2 linked regions of the Tribolium castaneum genome follow. The protein of the gene in region 2 binds, or shares a complex with, the protein of the main gene of each other region. Links are inferred from orthologs where the notes say so. Each region holds a gene or a part of one and is shown on either strand. Other genes may lie near its edges.

Evidence for each region.
Region 1: osa (region 2) and brm share a complex: the UniProt entries of both Drosophila melanogaster proteins name them as parts of the brahma complex. The link is inferred for Tribolium castaneum from reciprocal best matches to the Drosophila melanogaster genes osa and brm.

The regions. Positions count from the first base shown.
Region 1 is NC_087400.1:7,722,541-7,727,169, forward strand, and holds the start of brm (ATP-dependent helicase brm), read right to left. Parts: upstream 3,006-4,629; 5' UTR 2,896-3,005; exon of another isoform or gene 2,850-2,895; 5' UTR 2,763-2,849; intron 2,286-2,762; 5' UTR 2,282-2,285; coding exon 1,742-2,281; intron 428-1,741; exon of another isoform or gene 370-427; coding exon of another isoform or gene 221-369; intron 176-220; coding exon of another isoform or gene 24-175; intron 1-23. Other genes in the region: uncharacterized protein LOC100141828, read left to right, coding at 24-175, 221-369; uncharacterized protein LOC103314458, read left to right, coding at 3,038-3,316, 3,366-3,785, 3,832-3,966. UniProt on the Drosophila melanogaster protein: Transcriptional regulator. Acts as a coactivator, assisting one or more dedicated transcriptional activators of ANTC and BXC homeotic gene clusters. Can counteract the repressive effect of Polycomb protein.
Region 2 is NC_087403.1:4,031,259-4,034,267, forward strand, and holds part of osa (trithorax group protein osa), read right to left. Parts: coding exon 2,841-3,009; intron 2,781-2,840; coding exon 2,402-2,780; intron 1,911-2,401; coding exon 1,351-1,910; intron 1,291-1,350; coding exon 1,125-1,290; intron 1,064-1,124; coding exon 1-1,063. UniProt on the Drosophila melanogaster protein: Trithorax group (trxG) protein required for embryonic segmentation, development of the notum and wing margin, and photoreceptor differentiation. Required for the activation of genes such as Antp, Ubx and Eve.

The sequences.
Region 1 (4,629 bases), on a different chromosome or scaffold from region 2:
TTTATTAATTAACTTATTGGTAGAATACGTTCGATGGGTTCGGCCGCTTTGGGGCTGTGTTACGTGGCGCGGGGCTCAATGGACGCCTACCAGTGCGATGGGTTGTACCCATGGGACGCCGCTGCCGGGGTTTTGATAGTAACGGAGGCCGGTGGGGCTGTCGGCGACTCCACTTGTAATAAATTTTTTTGTTGTGTTTTTTCCCTAATTTCTGTTTCAGGGGGTAAAGAGTTCGATCTCATGAAACCGAATTTCATAGCAGCGGCCTCAAAGCCCCTTTTGGATCAGTTCCTTCAAGTCGAAAAACGTGCCGATGACGAAAGATTGGCTGCACTGCTGGTTAAGAAGGCCAATGTTGGATGCAAATAGTTTTTTTTATTAGTTGTAATTATAATTATGCAATAAACTTAAGGAAATTGGTTCGGCATCAATTGTTTTATTGTAAATAGATAAATAAAGGTGGCCTTGGATTACACTGTCAAGGAAATCGCTGTGAAATTTTTTTGAAGTATTCATGCAATCTGAAAAGCAAATTGTTGGTAATTTATGACAATTTGACGATAATTTATTAATTAGAAAAACGGTCAAAATAAAAACAAATATACCAGTAGTTAACGTGTCACTATTATAATTAGATAACTATCATTAAAATAGCCATTTGCTTGACTTGTTGGCCATGAGAAATAATAAAAGGTGCACATTTTGATTGATTTATATTGTTATTATTTTCTAAGAAACATTTCTCGAAAATATCAAATGCAATTATTAATAATCCATTCAAGATATTGTAGCTTGTTTTTTTAATTCGCCCCATTGTTGTCTATCTTATAACTTTAAACATAATTTTTTATTACATTAGAAACGAAACCTCTCTCTGAGTTAACTAGAATTCTAAAAAAATCCTAGGTGATTTGATTCATGTAAAAAAGGAAAAAATAGCGCATAAAATTCATATCTTTGTTACTGACCAACATAACGGTTTAATTTTTATAAATTCTACATTTTGATACCATAACAACATTAATAACGCCAGTGTTTTTTAGAAAATGTAGCCATTTTAAATATTTTTAATGACAATCCACACTTTTGAATAGTACATTACTTTATTATCTTTCTGATAATAATAATAATAATAAAAGAGTTAAAACAAATCGAATAAAGTACAGTCAAACAAAATGAAAATGACGCCTCACTAAACCAGCCCCTGTTATCAATGCAATTTTAGTTTATTTCAAAAATAGAATTTTCAAAGTTTACTCTGACAGCACTAAAATTTGATTAGTGATTGTTCATATCAGCGACCAATTTTGCTATTTTATTTTACTAGTACATAATGAGGCTCATTATGGCCGCTACAAGGTGACATAAAGCTTCTAATTATGAACAGTCGAAGATAAAACATTTTTATAATTATTAATTACGCATAAAAGACTTTACCTTTTATTATAACCTACATTAAAAAGAGCGATATTTTCTTATACTGGTGCTTTTTTGTTAAAATGTAGTATTAAAAAATCATAAATATGGCATAATAAGAATATGTACTTTTTACAGATTGTTAGTACTTGCAAATAAAGCTATTATTACTTACTATCACGGCTATATTTAAAGATAAAAAGCGACTTTTTGGCTCAAGACCAAATATTTTTGATATATAGAATCCTAACGTTGAAAAAAATGGAATATTCAAATTAAAATAAAGAAGGCCTCCCGCATTTTAACTGTCATTTCATCTCATTACCTGTCCTTGCTGCGGATGCCCCCCCATGGGCATGGAATGTCCCGGATAGGGCTGCCCTTGCTGCATATTATGCGCGGGGCCCATATGCGGCGGTGCCCCCGGCTGCATGGGATGCCCTTGCGGGGGCGGCGGCCCGCCATGCGGATGCCCCTGCGGGGGCGGCCCCCCTGGCTGCATCTGCATGGGAGGCCCTTGGGGATGTCCCTGCTGGGGCGGCGGCCCGCCCATATGGTGTCCTTGCGGGGGCGGATGTCCCTGGTGATTCGGGGGCCCTTGCGGCGGCATGCCCGGATGCGGGGGCATATTCGGGTGCGGCTGCGGGGGCATGTGATGCCCCGGGTTCGGCTGCATCTGCACCATGTTGGGGGCATTCGGGGGCATGGAATGTGGGGGCGGCCCGTTCACGTGGCCCATCGGAGGCGGCCCTTGGTACGGGCTGTGGGGCGACGGGGGCGGCGCAGGGCTCTGAATCGGCGGGCCCATGGGGCTGGGCGCCTGCGGCGGCGGCATGGGGCTGCTCTGGGGCGAAGGACTCGCCATTTTTCTAAAAAAACAAAAAAAAATAATAAAAACGTGTTTTCTTCATTTGTTTCGAATTGGCCAATCAGGTGGCGTGATTTGTTGTTATTGTCCTTTTTTGTGCTACCATTATTATTTAACTCAAAATGTCAAAAAGTACGCCTACTTGATTTTTTAACTTTTTGTCAGTTTTTTCGAAAATCAAAAAACAAAAAACCGTCCCAAATTCAAAGTTATGGAATAGCAGACGTTGATTGGCCCACTTCACGTCATTTAAACCGCCTTTTACCCGCACTTGAAGGTTACGCGTGAGCATCGAACCGGTAGTGTTTCCCTTAATTAACATCAGAAAACCCAGGTAAGTGAAAAATACGCTAAAAAACTACGTAAAATTTGGAAAAAACGCTAATTCATACAGTTAGTAACAGATCGGAGAAATTACAATGCAATGACCTAAGACTATCCCTCTTATCCGGTCGGTTTTCCCACATAAATGACCTACCTACGTTGCACAAACACTAGTCAGAGTTTTTCCAAACAGAGCACTACGTTTTCCTCATTTTCCCTACTTTGGAAAAGCACTGAAAAGCTAACAATTTTGAGTTAAAAGGCTGAAATCACAGACGCCATTTTACCATCGACTCAACGCTCTAGATCTAGAAGCTTTCTTTCTTTTCGTTTATTTCTATCGCACTTTTCCCATTGGCTAAAAAGAGATGGCGTTGTTGTTACAGGTGGCGCTTTGCACAACCGGCGCGGGGAATTTGAATTGTGGAGATGGAGGAAAATTTATCATTCATAATTGAGTGCTTGAAAGAGCGCAATTATCCCCAAATACACGAAATGGAGGAGTGCAAAATTTGTGACATTTTCTCCACCCCCAACAGATCGTTTCTCGTGTCGTGGATTCTGCAACAAATCAATGTTCGTTTTGCTGAGATTTGTGCGAACGCAGATAAAGAAAAATTAGCAGAAATAATCTACTGTCACGGATTTTGTGATGATGCTAAGGAAAGCCTTCAATTCATGAACGGCGAGTGTGACCTCAGCAAACAAGTATTGATTTAAAGTACACCCTTATCAATCCAATATACTCGATTTTCAGTTTTTCATCATGAGCAAAATGTTTAAAGCTTTAGAAACTGTTCCCGAAACCATAACTTCCGATGTCAACAACTACGATGATTTGATGAACTTTGATTCGAATTTGTTCCCAACTTACGGATCAAAACAAACCCTAACTCTCAGTCAACGTGCCGCCAAAATTCAAGAATATCGCAAGGAAATCGCTGATCTAAAGGCAATTCTCAACTCACGAAACCAAAATCAAAGCCTTTCAATTGATTCGAATTTGAAGCAGCAACTGGAAGATTCGACTCAACAACTCGAAGACAATTTTCTCGAATTTAAGAGCAATGTTCAACGTTTGTTGGTAAACCACAAGGAACCGAATGAAATTAATTTTCCAGAAGATGCCTCGGAAGTAATTGAATCGTGCTGTAAAAATTCCGAGCGGCTCCTTAAGGTAATTTATTGTGGGTTTTAGGATAATGTTTTATTGGTTGTTTCAGTTTATGAAGAGTTTGAACACTATTGTCAGTTTTAAGAGAGAAAATTTGGAAAATGTTGAAAAAAAGAGAAATGGAAATTATGAAATGTTAAAAGAGCTCGCAGAATTGTGTAGGGAAATCAAAAGCTTGAAATAAAATATTTTGTACTTTGTATTTTTCTAATAAGTTTTGTGATTATTACGAAACTGTCTTGTCCTTAAAAAATAATAACATTTACAAGTATTTATTAGTTTAGATAAGTTGCGGTTATGCAACCAACTATGACTGTTTTTTTATGAATGGAAATAAAAATCATAAACTATTTTGAAACAAATTGTGTTTTTTTTTATCGAGCGAAAAATTGAAACAATTTTAATACAGCGTGTTAGGGAATGGTTTAGCAAAAATTTAAAGGCAGATAGAAAATGGCAAAACAAATCGATTTAGCAAAATTTATGTCAATCAAAAATGTATAGTTTTTCCAAAAAATCGTTCTGAAATTAAAGTCACAAATTTTGAGAACCGCTAAGCTAGAATTATAAAAATTAGCGTCAATTTTAATATTATTGACTAAACAGCCTAAGTAAATTAACTTATTGGTCGACTACGTTATTTGTTTATTTCAATTTGTGTTGTGTTACTAAATTTTACAAAAAAAATACAAATTTTTTTGCCAGGACCGGGATTCGAACCTTCCACACATGTGGGAACTGAACATGGTAGCCACAATTTTGAAAAATTATATAAGGGTGATATAAGGGTTTCTAACTCGTCTAATCATGGCAAATTCACATACGAAATATTGCTAAGCCATTTCCT
Region 2 (3,009 bases):
GTTTTAGGAGGCGGTGGCGCCTCATCAGGCGGCGACGGTGTTCGTTGACGCTCCTCTATTGACTCCCTGCTGTTGTTCTTGTTGTTGCTGTTGCGATCTTTCTTTTTATCTTCTAGACGTCGATGGAACGGTATTCGACCAAATTCCGCTTGAAACGTTGGAAGTATGTGATCCGTCCTTGATTGCCAAGGATCCGTTGTCATTTCAGCTAAAATACTAGCACCGGTAGCATCACCTTTCACATCCCAGTCTTTCTGATGATCCTGAATGAAGATTTCCTCGCTACGATCGATCATTTTAACAGGATAACCTTTCCGTGTCACAAATGTATAGTTGTTTGTATTTTGCAATAAAACAGATTTTTTATTGGGATCAATCGGTGTTACAACACCTCCCAAATCAACGTCAGATTCATCTGGTTTCTCTTCTCGTGGATAAGGTCCATCAAAAATGTCACTTAACGCCTTTTGGAAGTGTTCAATCAATATGTCCAAAAGACCAGGCCATTGATTCAATCCGAAGTAGCCAACGGATGAATCGTCATATAACAAAACATTTAAAATGTCCAAAGCATACGTGCTTTCTGATAAAAGTCCAGAACGCAAACACATTATTATACGCCAAGGATCAACTTGACCAATGTCAGCTCTGCATAATCTTTTACGTCTGTATAATACCGGCAATGTTGCTTCAACACTATCAGGAGGAAACGTTATTTCTCTCTTCGGTAACTGACTTTGCGAATACGAACTATTCGACAACGTTGTCGCTTGGTTTCCTTTACCTCCTTGCGGTGGCATCATCGTAAACGGTTTACCAGGACGTGGACCTCCAAGAGGTGGCCTCAGCGGTGGATTCTGACCAACACCAGGTGCTGGGATTGAAGACCATTGCCCTTGCCCGGATTGTGGAGGCTGATAACCTTGATTACCCGACGGATAACGATCCCACTGACCACCAGCCGCCGGTCTTCCTCCCTGATTCCACTGCTGTGTACCCACTTGGGGACCTCCAGATGCCCCATACTGCTGTGGCGGCCTGTACTGGTTGTTATTCGACCATGCTATAAAACAAAACAAACCATTAAAACAAAACAATTACCAATGTTATTATTTTTAACGTACCATAAATATGTGGCCTTTGCTGACCGAAGGGATAGGTCTGCTGATCTTTGACGAAGTCTGGATGTCGCCTTGTTGGTTGCGGTCCAGGCGGTGGCATATTCTTGTTAGTCGGCGGTCCTCCGGGATAATTACCCGTTGCCGAAGGACCCTGCTGATTGGGATAATTCTGTAATTAGTCGAGTAAAAAATAAAGCAAAAAATGTTTAAATATGTACAACTCTTTTACCTGTTCCGGTCTGTAATAATCTTGCTGTGTCGTGTACGGTCCGGCTGGCGGTTGCGAGGTTGGCGGCCCTGTATTTCCCGGTGCGCCTGTGTAGTTTGGCCTCGGTGTGTATGTGGATGTTGGTGGTGCAGCTGCACCAACCATATTATAACGTGAATATGGGTCTTGTCCGGCAGCCGGCGGACCACCAGGTGGTGTATTGTTCGGATTCGGCGGCGGCGGTGCTCCTGAATCACCTGAATATGGAGGATACACTGGTCTAACGGCTGGTGGATAACCTGAACTAGCTGGGTACGTAGAATACTGATCTGGAGGAGCACCAGGACCAGGACTTGGATACTGATTGTATCCAGCCTGTCCGCTAAATCCCTGCGGTCTAGGTGGAGTGCCTGAAGGATAAGGAGGGTGCGGTCCACCTGGAAAGGGGCCACCCCGTGGTGGTGGTGGACTGGGAGACACATCATCAAAAGGGTTTGAAACGCTTACGTTGTCGGCAGCCCCGCCTGCAGGGCTAGGACCCCCAGGGGCGGCATTGTTTAAATGATTAGCCCCTCCTGAACCTAAGAGAATATAAAATACATATATACTACCCTCCTAACCGGGAAAACAAACAAAAATCAAACAATATCTCAAGGTCGTAATAGCGCCAAAATCAAGTAAAAAAATTAATCACGCTGAAACAAGCAGCTCCACAGCGTAAACCATTACAATGAATCATTCGCTTTAGTCTATAGTTATGTATAATACATGCTATTTATCGTTTTAAATTAATTTAGTCAATAAAATATTTATGGCCAAAACCGACGTTTAATTTATGAATAAGAAATAGATAAAACGAAAGTAAATAAATAATTCAAATAAAAAATACCTTCATCGAGAGATAATAACTGATAATACCGTTGAAACATCTTTAATTAAACACCGCTCGTGACACTGTTCATTCGCATTCGCATTCGAAACAAAAAGTAAAGATAACAATTTTTGTCGCTGAAGATAAACGCCCGACTGTCATTCTTTTTCATCCCCCCAATCATAATAAAAATTGACTAACATGACTCACCTCCGTGCGGAGAAGGCGCGTTAGATTGTGAAGATGGCCTCTGTTGAGGATTATATTCTGGATTTCCAGCTGGTGGATATCCGTAACCGTATCCGTCCATTGATGTACCGCCGGAACCAGGTGGCGGAAAAGAATCCTGAGAATTGGAAGAGCCTGGTGAAGGCACCGAGGCGGCTTTAGCTGATTTCTTTTTCGAAGTTGCTTCAACTTGATTTATTATAGGTTGAGGATCAATTCCTCCTCGATCGAACTGACATTCGTAAGCTAATAAATTTTTAGTATAGTGTTTCCTCAATGTGTATGCTGCACTTGAAGATGCACCGATACCCAACATTCCGGCGATATCTTTCCATGTTTTGTTTTTCGTAACCTTCGAAAATAAAAGAACATTATTTCTAACTAGCTAAATAAGTGAAAATAATAGTAGTACCTCCAGAAAACCACCCCTGTCCTTAACATAGACATACAAACGGAACAAATCAAGCGGGTTCTTGGAAATAGTAGGGCAAGTAGTGATTGGCGATCTTCTCTCTTCCATAAATGTGAGTAGTTTATCCAACCAAGCACGTCTATCTGGACTGTCATCCATTTCGTATAAC